Linked DNA regions of Saccharomyces cerevisiae S288C. The gene in region 1 interacts genetically with each later gene. Each region holds a gene or a part of one and is shown in the gene's direction. Other genes may lie near its edges.

The links. Genes that interact genetically often act in the same process or in processes that back each other up.
Region 2: mutations in YIL014C-A (region 1) and YLR012C together harm fitness more than expected from each alone (negative genetic interaction), as found in Saccharomyces cerevisiae (one large-scale study listed by BioGRID).
Region 3: mutations in YIL014C-A (region 1) and ADH4 together harm fitness more than expected from each alone (negative genetic interaction), as found in Saccharomyces cerevisiae (one large-scale study listed by BioGRID).

What each region holds. Positions count from the first base shown.
Region 1 is NC_001141.2:323,782-328,601, reverse strand, and holds YIL014C-A (uncharacterized protein), read left to right. Parts: upstream 1-3,075; coding exon 3,076-3,390; downstream 3,391-4,820. Other genes in the region: ATP-binding cassette multidrug transporter PDR11, read left to right, coding at 1-395; alpha-1,3-mannosyltransferase MNT3, read right to left, coding at 607-2,499; aspartyl protease BAR1, read right to left, coding at 4,497-4,820.
Region 2 is NC_001144.5:168,178-173,043, reverse strand, and holds YLR012C (uncharacterized protein), read left to right. Parts: upstream 1-2,762; coding exon 2,763-3,062; downstream 3,063-4,866. Other genes in the region: PPR1 (Ppr1p), read left to right, coding at 1-776; GAT3 (Gat3p), read right to left, coding at 1,280-1,705; LOT6 (flavin-dependent quinone reductase), read right to left, coding at 3,366-3,941.
Region 3 is NC_001139.9:12,501-18,111, forward strand, and holds ADH4 (alcohol dehydrogenase ADH4), read left to right. Parts: upstream 1-2,658; coding exon 2,659-3,807; downstream 3,808-5,611. Other genes in the region: alpha-1,3-mannosyltransferase MNT2, read right to left, coding at 1-1,657. UniProt on the Saccharomyces cerevisiae protein: Alcohol dehydrogenase specific for ethanol. Acts mainyl as a mitochondrial formaldehyde dehydrogenase and has no effect on ethanol production. Shows drastically reduced activity towards primary alcohols from 4 carbon atoms upward.

The sequences.
Region 1 (4,820 bases):
TACTTCTCCATGACAGAGAAGTAAACTGCTCGACAAGTGAAATGGTACCAAGCCAACCTGTAATGGGTCAAACCTGCGGTCAGTTTATGAAACCCTTTATTGATGAATTTGGTGGGAAACTGCACATCAATAACACATACACCGTCTGCGCCTACTGCATGTACACTGTTGGGGATGACTTCCTTGCTCAAGAAAATATGAGTTATCATCACAGATGGAGAAATTTTGGTTTTGAATGGGTTTTCGTTTGCTTTAACATTGCCGCCATGTTTGTGGGCTTCTACCTAACCTACATCAAAAAAATTTGGCCTTCTGTGATTGATGGTATAAAGAAGTGTATCCCATCAATGAGGCGGTCCAAAACATCTCATAATCCAAACGAACAAAGCGTATAATCAGTGAATAGCGTTCCGTTAGAAAACATTCAAAATTACCTAATACTATTCAACAGTTCTTGTTCCTCATCCGGCTGCCTTCTGCTTTAAACTAATTGTTAATTTATTCCCAAATCATATTCTAAATTAATCTATAATCATTTTTCGGATTATATATGCTCCATACTTAATAAATATTAATACTCTCATTTCCTTTTCACTTTTTTTTTTCTCAATTAGCATTCCAGGTTCGAGAAATATCATTGATATATCGTAATTCCTTTTCAGTAAACGTGATTAGACGACCTTCGTCAAGTTCAGAGTTTGTGTGTCCGTCACCCGTAGCATATGCACAATACATATAATTAGAACATTCCTTGATTTGCATCCATGGATGAACAGAAACGTCAGGAACGATTAGTCCCTCTACGTTCAACGAAGCATCATATATCCTTTTTAATTTTGAAATGTCCCCATATCTACTCTTAAAATACTCTGGCTCTCTTCCAAAGTCATCTTCAGCACTGTTCGAAATTTTACAAGTCTTCAGTCCACCGTTTACCCATAGTAATCGATTTTTGGAGTCACTGTGTGCAATCTGCGTAGAACAAATGTAGTACATCCCGCTTTTATGTCCGTCATCATTTTCAGGCTCTTCATTAACAGGTCCAATAATACTGCCATCAACGGGATTGATAGAATAATCCTGGCCAGCATATAATTGCCCCAACCAGAATATTTCCTTGTCACCATACACACACCTCTGCAATTTTCCATCCAAATTTAACATAAAAGACATCAACAATCCATTTAATTTCTCAAGTTTATTGACTACAACCAAACCACTATCAACATGATGGAGTCGTAATTTTTTGAAAAAATTGTAATACACAGATGCTTCTTCTGAGGTTTCGGAAGAAAACGGTAATGACGAATCAAAAACTAACCTACTTCCAATAAATCTGCGTTCTTGTGCAGAGGGTTCCACTTCATTTAACATTTCGATGCAGTATTGGAAAGTTTGCTCGTTTTCCATAACCCTATCCTTGAACAAAAGTATCCCGCTCTCCCTGTAAGAAGGAGAGTCGAAAAAGTAATCAGACCCTACAAACGGTACTACGTCTGCATCCAACAAAATGTATTCTTCAAATGTGTTGAACAAAGTGGCGACCCATTTATTCTGAAAAAAAGAAATGTATGTATTAGCAAAATTAGTGTCAAGCACTGTCGAGCAGTCTACTAAGTAGACCCTTTGTTCCGTTTCTTTAGCGGTCTCAGAAATTTTAGCAATAGACTCTGCTGATAGTTCATTTCCCGTGGATACTATTTGGAATGGTAATTCGTTTTTTGAAAATTCCATCACTTTCAACTGTTTCAAAAATAAAGGAACATCCTTTTCAGCAATAGTTAAAACAAAACCTCTTCCTTTGCTCAACCTATTCCAGTTGGACCAAAAGTTACCATTAAAGTTTGATGATTCCATATCAACCTCGGGTGCCGGAACTGCCTCTCCAGTTGTCATGTCTGTGATAATAGGCCACATTACAGTTTTGGATTCCTCGTTAATTTTCTTCAGAAATGGAAACATTCTGTTTTGCAAATCATGAGGATTTACGGTTGAATTTGCAAATATTGCAGTAGGATCTAATTGACCAGATAAAAAGCAATAATCATAAGATCTTAATCTTTCCCCTAACAATGAGGCCAACGTGTTATCTACACCATCAACATTATAAAATTTTGCAGTTTGCGCATTGTCCCAGTCGGGATCAATCTTGTATAGTACTTCAAAAATGTAACGGCACTTGTCACTCTTCGCTATTTCATTATTTCCTAATTGCCTCAACAATACACGTTCTTTGTGAGAACTTCTACTCAAAAAGGGCAAAAAGTAGGCAGATAATCTGTTCATTAAGTTTTCGGATCTCACTTGGTGTTGTCGTTTTTCAATCCAATTGAATGCAGATGATTCAACAGCTGTCCTCTCGCTTGCATGGTTGTTTAATTTATTGGATGATGTAACATTCCGACTGGCAGAGAAAATGAGATAAGAAAAGAATAAAGAGAGCAGCAGTGTTACTAATCGTTTTAAGATTAGTCTTCTGGATTTTAATGATTTAAGCATGCTTAGGGAAATAGTTTTAGTAGACTGTCTTTAATTCCTTAACACCCCTCCTCGTACTCATGTGATGGAGAAAGGAATTTGATCAGTTCCAGAGGCACAATTTAAGTACTAAGACAAACAATGATACCAAATTAAAGAGTAGATTATTGCCACTTTTTGCGTGTAAATCAGAATAATTCCTCTTCAAAATTTTTTTAGACGAGATCATTAAGGTAATTTGCATTGTCGATACTTCTTCATTCTTCCGTATTTGAAAAAGATTCTCTTTCAAAGAAAAAAAATTGCTTCCAATCGGATTTGAACCGATGATCTCCACATTACTAGTGTGGCGCCTTACCAACTTGGCCATAGAAGCTCGTATTTTACGGTAGATGAGATTATCGCATAAAGGATATCATTTAAAATGTGGTTGCAAACAGCTTCCAAACATTTACTCGACTGCTTCTTACAAGTAGCTATGCACAAATTATGTACTATTTTAATGAGACAACAGAGCTAAAGGCAGAAAGTAGAAAAAAGTTCAAAAATTGAAGTTTAAGGCCTGTTTTATTTAACAGTCTGTTTTTCTGAAAAGAAATGGACATTGACATGAACTATCCCAGTATAACTACTTTGATGAGTAATGAATCAGCAAACTTATTGATTATTTGGGGGAATGCCACGCCTGATATTAGCTATCTATCTTATACAACTAACCCAATGTTAGGTGACTATGTTTTAAATGTGTCCGCTATAAATGGCTGCACGGAGGAATTAATAGCAACTCATCTAGTGCCAACTTTGGAGAATGCAACCCAGTGGGTTTATGATGCGGGGGAGTACTGGGACAATTATTCCTTTACTGATGAAAGTACCCCTCTGCCAGGACTTTCCTGGCCATTTAATGAATAATTAGATAATTGTTGGAATTCCGTTGTTAGTAAAGGCTATATAATATTTGAGAAATGGGTGAATTTTGAGATAATTGTTGGGGGTTCCATTGTTGATAAATGCTTATAATATTATGTATACAGAATATACTGAAAGTTCTCCTCGAGGACATAGGAATCCTCAAAGTGGAATTTATATTTTTACATACTAATATTACGATTGTTCCTCATTCCGTTTTATATGTTTCGTTATCCTATTACATTATCAATTTTTGTATTTCAGCTTCCTCTAACCTCGATGACAGCTTCTCATAAGTTATGTCATCATCTTAACAACGTATATGATAATATATTGATAGTATAACTATTAGTTGATAGAAAATAGTGGATTTTTATTCCAACATTCCGACACAACAAAGTCTTTCTTCAACAAGGTCCTTATTTCAGATGACAGATTTTACTGTACATAAAATACAAAGGATAAGTGAAATGAAAAAATTGTTGTATTACGGGCTCGAGTAATACCGGGGTGTCTTGACAATCTTATTATTATTAACAGTCTTAGGGAAGTAACGAGCTGTCAAAACGGATTATCAGCTTAATTCACGGGATGTTACTTATCTTATATATTGTATAGAATATGAATCATACTAAATGGTGAAAGCGCGGAATCTTGGATCTAAACTAATTGTTCAGGCATTTATACGTTTGGTTAGTTCAGCTAGGGGAGGCCGGGTTTTATCTCATGTTGTTCGTTTTGTTATAAGGTTGTTTCATATGTGTTTTACGGACGTTTAGGATGACGTATTGTCATATTGACGTATCGCATTTTGAGATACAACAATATCACATCTAATATTCCGTGATAGTTTAATGGTCAGAATGGGCGCTTGTCGCGTGCCAGATCGGGGTTCAATTCCCCGTCGCGGAGATTTTTTTAGCATTTATTCAATGAATAATGTGCTACTTGTTCAAAATTGTGATGGCTGCATAATATTACTATTTTGTTTTATATATCCCAATGATATCAGTAAAACTCCCCTTGTTTTTTTATTATGCTTTCCATGTATTAAAAATGACTATATATTTGATATTTATATGCTATAAAGAAATTGTACTCCAGATTTCTTAATATGTTGGTTTACAGACATTTATTAAGACTGTAGAATACTTCGTGACAGTTTCTGTTATGACTGTCTTATGAGTAGGCCGATATTTAGTTTCATGTACAAACGTTTGGTTAAACGTAGAATGCTCTGCTACACTTGGATCGCTGGTAGTTTGAGATTTCGAATGTTCGAACTCTTTGTCTATTGAATTCGAAGTGGGAAGCGAGACACTGCCCGAATTTGCCATAGTCGAGGATAATTCTAATTTAGTTTCATTTGAGGTTTGTGTGACAGCGCCTGTACTTTGATGCATAGCACTATTTTGAGTAGGCTTACTTAAGAC
Region 2 (4,866 bases), on another chromosome or scaffold:
ATGATACCGCTTTTAAAATTGTCCTGGACAGTACGAAGGGCACCATAGACGTATTTTACAATCTTTGTGTCAATAAAAAAATTGGTTACACGTGGGTAGCAGTTCATAACATGTTCATGACAGGTATGACTTACCTTTACGTAAATTTTTACTCAAAAAACAACATAAATGATTGTCAAGAAAAAGTGTCAGAGTACACTGAAAAAGTGTTGATAGTACTGAAGAATCTGATAGGTTTTTGCGAATCTGCGAAAACCTGTTACACGAGTTACAAAATTTTATCATCAGTTGTAATAAAGTTAAAATTTATGCAAATAAATGATGCCAAAGGGATATTTTCGGATTCAAATCCCCTAACCTCTCAGGCAAACCGCATGTCAAGTTATGATAAAAAAACGAACGTACTTGGTTTTGACGACGGTACTTTTGATAACAAGGTTTTTAATAGAACCAATTTTGAAGAAAAAGCACCTTTTGATATACCTCTAGATGAATTTTTTACCGAACTGGAAAAACACAGCAATGTTTCCCAGTTTAATACTTTAGATGTAAGCGAAGGTAATCAAGTGATAAATGAAAGTGCTTCTACAAATACGTCTTCTGCATTGAATTGCCAGTCGTATACCAATAATCAAGATATCATGGATATCCTTTTCCAGGTTACTTCGGGATCTGTATGGGATGAGTTTTTTGTCAGGTCTGGTAACGGAAACGAAGGCGAGTCTTCTTACGATATCAGTAAAGGAAAGAACTCTGAATCCGGTGGAATATTTTAGCGATAGCTCGAAGAATCATGATCAATGGATTGAAAGTAGGGCCACCAATGCTCTTTTCAATCTATTTTTTGAAAACATGAGAGTCCTAAAAGAGCTAACTTAAATGACCGGGGCAGATTAATTGAAAAGTTTGAGGTTTTTGTGATAATCTTCAAAGTTGAACGCATGTATAAAATGATAGAAGCAACAGTCCATTGAGAAGTATGCCACTATAGTCATATATATATATATATATATATATATATATATTTACGTATTAATTGATAAACTATAATACCAACGGCACTTGATACTTGAATTCATCTTACATTTCCAGTGATGATTTTTTTTTCTGGGACTACGCTGATAAAGAAAAATTGCAAGAACTGAGAAACCACTTGTTTTGTATGGCACTTTGACTTTCGAATAACACATAATGTTCGTTATCAACTGTTTAAAGTCGATAAATGTATAATCACTGCTTTGACATAAGTATATAACATTCCGAGCAGAAATAAATTCTCTTAACGCGTTCTTGTAACTCCATAGAGGCTCTTTGGAACTTTTCGTTTGACGCTCACACCTTTTATTTCGTTAAAGTACCGTTTTGCCAGATCCTTGCCAAAAACCAAAAATATTTTTCTATAAAATAATCCACAGGCATTACACAATGTCACCTCTCCATCAGGACCCTCTCTCCATTGCGGAGAAGTTTTTATCACCGCACACTGTGGACATCTCCTGGTGACGCCTTTCCTCTTTTGGACATTGTGCTGAACAACAGCAGTATTATTCGTTGTGACATACAAAGATGCACTAATGGGTTTAGCAGTATTGATTTTTGTTTGAGAGTGAGGTTTTTCGCAGTCTATTGTCTCCTCTACCGGATTCAATAACGATTCAACGGAGATTCTTTTATATTCTGGATGACACAAAGTCTTAATGTTCATAGCAAATTCTTCCTTCTGGCTTTATATTTGCTTCTAGTTGATAATTGTTTACATTTAATGAAATTGTTTCAAATCAAGAAAAGGTAAGATAAGCTCCCTCAAAGAACCTCTCGTCTTATAATATACTCTTCAAACAGAGCAACAAATATTAATTAACATGCTCGACCATTTGTTCTTTTCCATCAAATTGGACCCTAGACCCTTAAAAACATAGATATGACTGAAGAGGAGGTTTTTGACCTCTAGCCTATTATTCCATTTTACAGAGAAGCCTACTTATTTTCTGTGGCAGGCGGCTAAGCAGGTAATGTTGTCCGCATTTTATCAGAAATACTTGCCAAGAAAAAAAAGGGATTTTCATATAAGGGGATTTTCTACAGGTGTTTGTGTGAGTATGTATTGCACCAAATAAGTACTGTGTTAAAGGTTTTGTTGATGCGTTTTCATCGGGGTTAATAGCGTCTAATCCTTCAAGGGAGCTGTAAGTGATACTTTCATTATGCAAACTAAAGAAAGCTGAAGTCCTGGTACGCCACCTGGCACTTCATCTGGCTTCTTTTATTTTTTTATACACAGAAAATAACTTACTTACACTTTTTTTGGAAATAAAACCATTGTCTCGGGGAACATATACATATATATATATATATATATATGTATATAATACCAACTGCAATAAAAGAAAAGAGTCATATTATAAGTATAATTTTGAATGTTCTGTGCATTTTTCACTGTCGAATAGCTTGCTTGTCATGCCAAATAATGGGTTAAATCGCTGTGTGCTGACAATGTATCAAATAATACTTCCCCTAATTGAATGTGTGGCGCTATCCGTATATCCGGACCCTTTTTCAGGGCCGGTCTTGGCATGAAAAAATGTCAGAAGCATGAGTAGAATTAAGTCGAGAACAAACTAATATGAAGGGGATGTTTAATGTAAAAACGTATAAAAAGGCCATGTTCGAGGTGGATAATAGAACAACATTCTATGAAGACGGCAGCTTCAAGACAGAAAATATTCATAGAGATTAAGAGAAAAAGTCTCGAACATATTCAAATGAAGACTGTCTATTACAAAGAAATCACCTACCAGCAGTATCTTCAACTGCAACCTGAACAACAGGAAAAATACCTGGCTTTATGTCAAAAAGATTTTGAACAAGAGACTGAAAGAATTGCATTTGATCGTCAAGGAGGTGTGCCTGGTATTGCTAGGAAATTTGCACAAGAAGAAGTTGCTTGGTTCGATCGCGTTACAACATGGTCATATATGAATGCTTATATTCCGAGCTACAGAAGAAGAAGAAACCTTTTAAAGATTGATATGTTAAAGATGTCTAATGCTGAAGAATACTGAGAATAATTTCGAGCGCCGATCCAAATATTAGGTTTGCTTTATCTTTTTTTATGAAATAAGTTCATGAAATATGAATACTATACCACTACGCATATATATATTTTAAGAAAATTTTCGAATGAAACTTGATGAAATTAGTCCATTAAAAGTGTATGGGTAATCGAAGAGCCCAAACTACCGTTAGTATAATACTTTGTACTTTGTACTCAATACTTAATACTAATTAAAGTCTGGATTACAGTGTCCTATGATAATTGTGTTAGCTTTTCATCTTTTATTGCGACTACAGTTAAATTTTATGGTTTATTTATTCCTCGTTGTTTCGATGCACGATGCGAGTAATTGCAGGATCTCTTCATTGTGCACGCTGAGTTGTGGTACAATGTCCTCGGGTAACGGTATCGTACCTACCGGTATTTTCACCGCCACTCCACCTATAACATTCATCTTCAAACCATGTAGTACCTCTTGAAGTTGGTCATTACACTTACTACCGCCATGACCGCCGTAGCTTACCACCAGGGCAGGTTTTCCGTGCCATTCATGGTAAAGACGATCAATTGCATTTTTTAAGGCTGCTGGATACCCCCAATTATATTGAGGTGTAACGAATACAATAATATCTAATGCATTTACGATGCGACTCCACGATCGAGTTTTGCTGTCTGCATACTCATCCACGCTCTTTATTTGCGCAGGGATCAGTTCGTCATCATCTTCATATAAGGGAAGAGCAATCTGTTGTAAATCTACTACTTGTATTTTCAGCTTCTGGTCTATTAATTCTTCGCTATTTTCAATTGTACGTTTTACGTATGCTGCAATTTCTGGGCATACCCTCTTTGCCCTCACAGAACCCATTATAATACCCACTTTCATGTTTAATGCGGTTGTCGACTAAGCACCTCAGCTGGTAATGGAGATGACCAAGTAACTAATTAACAATTGATAGATATACAACTTTCCCTTTTCAATAGGCATGTCAAATCTTTCGATTTTTTTTGATTTTGCACCTTCTTTGATTCATATTTACATTCGTAACCATGTGAGATGCTCAAATGTTATGATACTGACGGGTAATAAACAACGGGGGCACCACTCAAAGAAAAAAGCAGCTTATCTGTAGAATCTACACAGGGTTATGCCAAGAATGGAATTACAACAATTGCCTTGAATTCAAATCAGATACAAAAAATAGCATAAAATAGTAGGGTCAAACAACAGACCAAGACGAGACTGTAATCATCATGTTGTAATAAGAATCATGTATTAACTATCGACTAGTATTCATGTCAGTAGTATATACTGTCATATACAGTGTAACGTGGGGACATTAATTTTGATGACTTTTTTATGTCCTCACGTTACACCGCATGTGACGGTATACTGGTAACACAAATACTACTAAACAGATGGTATTTTACAGTTTCATTCCAACAAAAGCATGAAGTGTAATTAAAAAAATGCTTTCTTGGCTTGTATTCATCTAATTCATTTGATCATAGCATGTGCTCTATATTGTAATGGCCAAGCTCGGCGTTAAAGTTTTTAGTTGACATATTTATCATCTTGTGTAATATTTAACATAAAATAGGTTAAATTATTGTATCTCAAAATGAGATACGTCAGCCTGACAATACATTATCCTAAACGTTCATAAAATACATATGAAACAATCCTATAACAAAACGAACAACATGAGATAAAACCCGGCCTCCCTTAGCCAAACTACCCAAACATATAAATGCCTGAACAATTAGTTTAGATCCAAGATCCGTGCTTCCACCATTTAGTATGATTCATA
Region 3 (5,611 bases), on another chromosome or scaffold:
TGTCGACTATTTGTGAAAGCCGGAGCTTTTCGTCTTCTTTAAATTTGATCAACTTTCCAAACTCACCTTCCTTGAATAATGTGCAATAATTGAACAAAAAACACTCTCCTGAGTTAATCCATCCTGATATACTAGTATCTGGTATTATAATCCCTTCAAGTTTTACTGGTGATGCATAATATTCACGTAATTCATCTGCATTTTGGAACATATCATTTAGTCTCTGTCTATGCTCATAATCGTATTCCCATGAAGTTTTTTTACAAATATTAAGGCCCCCGTTTAGCCATAGCAAGGACCCGTCCCTGTCTGTATGAGATAGTTGCACAGAACAAATCTGGTAAAACTCACCGGTACTCTCTTTTGAAACTACATTGCCCAACTGACCAATGTTTGATGCATCCACAGGATGGAACGTAAAGCGATTGTTCGAAAGTAATTCGCCCAGCCAAAAAAAGTCCTTATCACCATGAAAATATTCTGCAATTGGAGAAAATTGTAAAGCTATTGAAGTAAGCATACTGAAGAGATGCTTTCCTTTATGCAATATTACCAGGCCGCTTTCCAAATGATGTTTATATTTCTTTATAAACATGTTTTCCAGAACCTGTGCAACCACTGGATCCTCTACTTGCTCATGTATCTTGGATTCATCCTCTAAATCAAGCCCAATACACCCATAGACAATTTCCCTTAGAATTTTTAATTCAGAGGATTCAAATAGATCATCTGATATTACCCGATCTTTAAAGAATAGAACTCCAGTCTTTTGAAATTCCTCTAATTCATAAAATTTTTCTATTGAAACAAAGGGCACTGTATCTGAGTCCATTAGAATAGGAATTTCAAAGGATGAGAAGGTCAATGCTAACCACTTGTTGGAATAGGTGGTAAATTTTTTCGAATATTTCGGGTTTAGCAGACTATGTACATTTAAAAACCATAATTCTTGAGCAGGATATTCAGCGGTGTCTAGACTTCTCGCATATTTGATAATAGATTTCATGGAATCTTGACTCAGATCTGCATTATGAACAATCTGTATAGGATAATCATTTTTGATGAACCTCAACACTTTCAATAAGCGTATGGTTTCATTCAACTGCACGTCAGAAGCACTAATAACTATGCCTTTCGAACCACTTTGAGTCACAGTGTGCAACCAATTCTCCCAAAAAGATAGCCCTGTATCGAAATTGATGGGCTTAGAACGAAGGAATTGATGGTTTTTGGGGTCAAATTCCAACATAGACGCATGGTAAACCTCGCCATTCCATCTCGTAGTTGTGTGCCAGAAGGCACTTTCATCAGTTTCTAATTTTTCAAAGTTAATATACGGAAAGAGCTTCTTTTCAATATCCCTCAAACGCTGAATATTATGCCCATCAACCTGCTGCAAGCAATTAAAAAAAATCTTAATCCTCGTAACCAGTTCAATCACATCTTTTGCAGGATTCGGGGTTATTTGATTTACGTCGTAGAAGTCATTCAACCACCCAGGCGTAAGACCTTCATAGTAACTCCAGCAGCCACCATTGCCACTGCTGCTACTTTGAACTGGTTCTACCAAATCTAACGAATTCAACTGAGAGTAATATACTACTAACACAATTCCCAGTAGTACAACTAATATAAACAGTCGATTTTTTCTTCTCATATTCGATAAATACTATTGGGGCTACTTTTGTCCTGTCACTGCGGATTTGCAAACACTCATGCGAATATTTTACTCAATTGAGAGATTTGCTGTCTCCCCCCACTTCGATGGTCCCCACCCCTAAAGTAAAGGAAAGAAGAATTAGCACTGTTTTAGTTCCAGGTACTTCTTTCTTTCTTTACCGGTATTGTGTGGCTCATCAAAACTTCGTCTCGGGAAAATGAAAAATGTAAACAAGAATTTCCGTTTCAAAGAGTTGCCTAAGGCCCACTAATAATGTACTTATTATTTACAATTCGGAGAACGCTGCTGATAGAAATCAATCAAGAAGTCCCTTAGTCTTTGTGTGTTTACGCCATATTGCTTAGTTTCGTAGTGCGTTACAGTTCTATCGTGTGAAAATTTTTTTCTAATGCATCAGCTGTTATGCGCACTACTTGAAAGGTTATCGAGCGTTTGTAAAAAGTAGAAGTACTTAAATGAACCTTCACGGTTAAGCAACCAGTATAATTGAGGCTGCTGATTTGAAATTGCGTTTTGTGTTCAGAAGGATCCCCGGAGGCCTTCAATGAGCTTCCATTTTATTTTCTCCAAGGAGGCCATTTTTTGTAGTGTGATGTTGACATGGTTATAACTGTTAGCAGTGTTTGTGATGATGGCTGTAGTATCACCGCAGTGGATTAGCTATGAAAAAAAAAAAAAAGAACTAGTTTTTAGTTCGCGCATCACGAGGTACGTGTTTAATATGTCAGATGCTTGGGATCACGTATGCCGTTAACTCTACAAAGCAATTGATATTTTGCTGCCTCAAATATCTCACACTACTAGGATATATTCTTTTATCAAACAGGAAAAAAGGGCAGCGTACCAACATGTATAAAAGGGTTATTAGCATTTCTGGTTTATTAAAGACTGGAGTCAAACGTTTTTCTTCTGTCTATTGCAAAACAACCATCAACAACAAGTTTACATTTGCAACAACTAATAGTCAAATAAGAAAAATGTCTTCCGTTACTGGGTTTTACATTCCACCAATCTCTTTCTTTGGTGAAGGTGCTTTAGAAGAAACCGCTGATTACATCAAAAACAAGGATTACAAAAAGGCTTTGATCGTTACTGATCCTGGTATTGCAGCTATTGGTCTCTCCGGTAGAGTCCAAAAGATGTTGGAAGAACGTGACTTAAACGTTGCTATCTATGACAAAACTCAACCAAACCCAAATATTGCCAATGTCACAGCTGGTTTGAAGGTTTTGAAGGAACAAAACTCTGAAATTGTTGTTTCCATTGGTGGTGGTTCTGCTCACGACAATGCTAAGGCCATTGCTTTATTGGCTACTAACGGTGGGGAAATCGGAGACTATGAAGGTGTCAATCAATCTAAGAAGGCTGCTTTACCACTATTTGCCATCAACACTACTGCTGGTACTGCTTCCGAAATGACCAGATTCACTATTATCTCTAATGAAGAAAAGAAAATCAAGATGGCTATCATTGACAACAACGTCACTCCAGCTGTTGCTGTCAACGATCCATCTACCATGTTTGGTTTGCCACCTGCTTTGACTGCTGCTACTGGTCTAGATGCTTTGACTCACTGTATCGAAGCTTATGTTTCCACCGCCTCTAACCCAATCACCGATGCCTGTGCTTTGAAGGGTATTGATTTGATCAATGAAAGCTTAGTCGCTGCATACAAAGACGGTAAAGACAAGAAGGCCAGAACTGACATGTGTTACGCTGAATACTTGGCAGGTATGGCTTTCAACAATGCTTCTCTAGGTTATGTTCATGCCCTTGCTCATCAACTTGGTGGTTTCTACCACTTGCCTCATGGTGTTTGTAACGCTGTCTTGTTGCCTCATGTTCAAGAGGCCAACATGCAATGTCCAAAGGCCAAGAAGAGATTAGGTGAAATTGCTTTGCATTTCGGTGCTTCTCAAGAAGATCCAGAAGAAACCATCAAGGCTTTGCACGTTTTAAACAGAACCATGAACATTCCAAGAAACTTGAAAGAATTAGGTGTTAAAACCGAAGATTTTGAAATTTTGGCTGAACACGCCATGCATGATGCCTGCCATTTGACTAACCCAGTTCAATTCACCAAAGAACAAGTGGTTGCCATTATCAAGAAAGCCTATGAATATTAAAAAAATCGAACGAACTCATAAACGTCAATTATGCGTGTGCCTTATTTATTTAGTTGTGCGTACAGTATAATGCACTTATTTATTTACCAATCAAATGATTTTTTTAACTTTTCACGATCTATATAATTACGTTAATTTCGAGTATATAACAATGAAAATATATATCTACGTTGTTTTAAATTGAAAAAAGAAGAACGGAAGTTCTATTAATGAGCCGAGACCGGTACGTTTGTTGAAAATAGTTTGGACTTAATTACTGACATACTGTTGGCTTTGAAGCATTTAAGACTGAAAAATAGTCATGCAAAAGTCATGCTTTAATATGGTGGGTTTCAGTTGGATGCAAGAAATAAAATGAAATTCGAAGGCCTTTTGCAATTAAACAAGGCATCGTCAACCAGACAATGTCGAAAATTTTGAGTCAATCTAAATCAATCCACCGCCACACTGAATTCTGTCAATGATATTGTCTTCCTTTTTTTGGTTTGATATCTCTAATTTTCAACCTGTTATAAGCAACGTCAATCCGATTACTTTCGTGTGTCATTCACATGCGCATATTTTTTTATTCGTTTTATGATATAGCTGTCTTTATTATAACCTCGAAACACAACGGCAATGTAACCTTACCAGCCGCATTATTACAAGGAGCCCACTTTATTTTCAATTGCTATCGCTACATCGCAAATGCTACAGCACCCCCATCAGACCTTGAAGTATATATATATTTAATAATAAATACATTATTGGAATGGCTAGTAAATTTTGACATAAACATGATTTCCGAACGAATTAAAATACAGTTGATTTAGGAGAAAGTATCAGTACATTGCTAAAAATTTTAAGCAAATGTTAAGTGAAAAAGGCTTATCATTCAGATGAGCTTAAGAATATACTTTTTGCGTTATTCAAGAGCGATGATTATTACTGAACTACTGTGACGATATCAGCAGCATGCCTGATAAATAAATCTGTACATTCGTGGAAAGTAGTATGTACTTTTCAAATATTTCTAAGAGCTAATGATATTTATTTGATATTTATATCGACAAATGAATCTTTTTCATAGAAGCCGTTATGAAGACTCCAAATAGCAATACTCAAAATATACTATAAGATCTCCGACCAGGTACATAATACATGACACAGCACAAATAACCGACCAACTGACAATAGTAGAAAGTAGCGGACGGTGTCACACGGTTTTCTCGTCCACATCACTGGAAGTAAGCAATCTCTTGGCCAGCTTTCGGTGATCCAAATATTATATCAGACCAGTTTCATTATTCTCGGAAGTAGAGTCGAATATTTCCTATTGTATAGTGCTAATGCTATCAATGTTTATTATATACAACGTACAATAGTATTATTCTCTAAGATCGTTGAGTTGCTCATAGAGAAATCCAAAATATTGTGCACAATAAATTATATTATCTTTTTGAGACGATGAAATCTTAAAAATTGTCAGCAAATAAATGTTTATTTATCGAATACTAGGTCGAAACATTTTTTTTGTTTATTCAAAATGATCATGTACCTTCTTCTCGCGAAAGTTTTAATTAAAATTTACTGATAGTTTTTTAATGATGAACTTCTATAACTAAACCATAATAATGAAAATTACAGGTAATATTTATATCACAAGAAACGGCCCCTCTTTTCTGTTTTTATATAGTAACCATTAAGAATAGTTGGCTAATCTACTATGAAAGTTCCTAATTAAAAAAAATTCATGAAGAGTTAATCAACGTTCCAGTACCAAATTTATTCTATGTTCTCCTTGGAAGATGAACTTGCCGCAGTA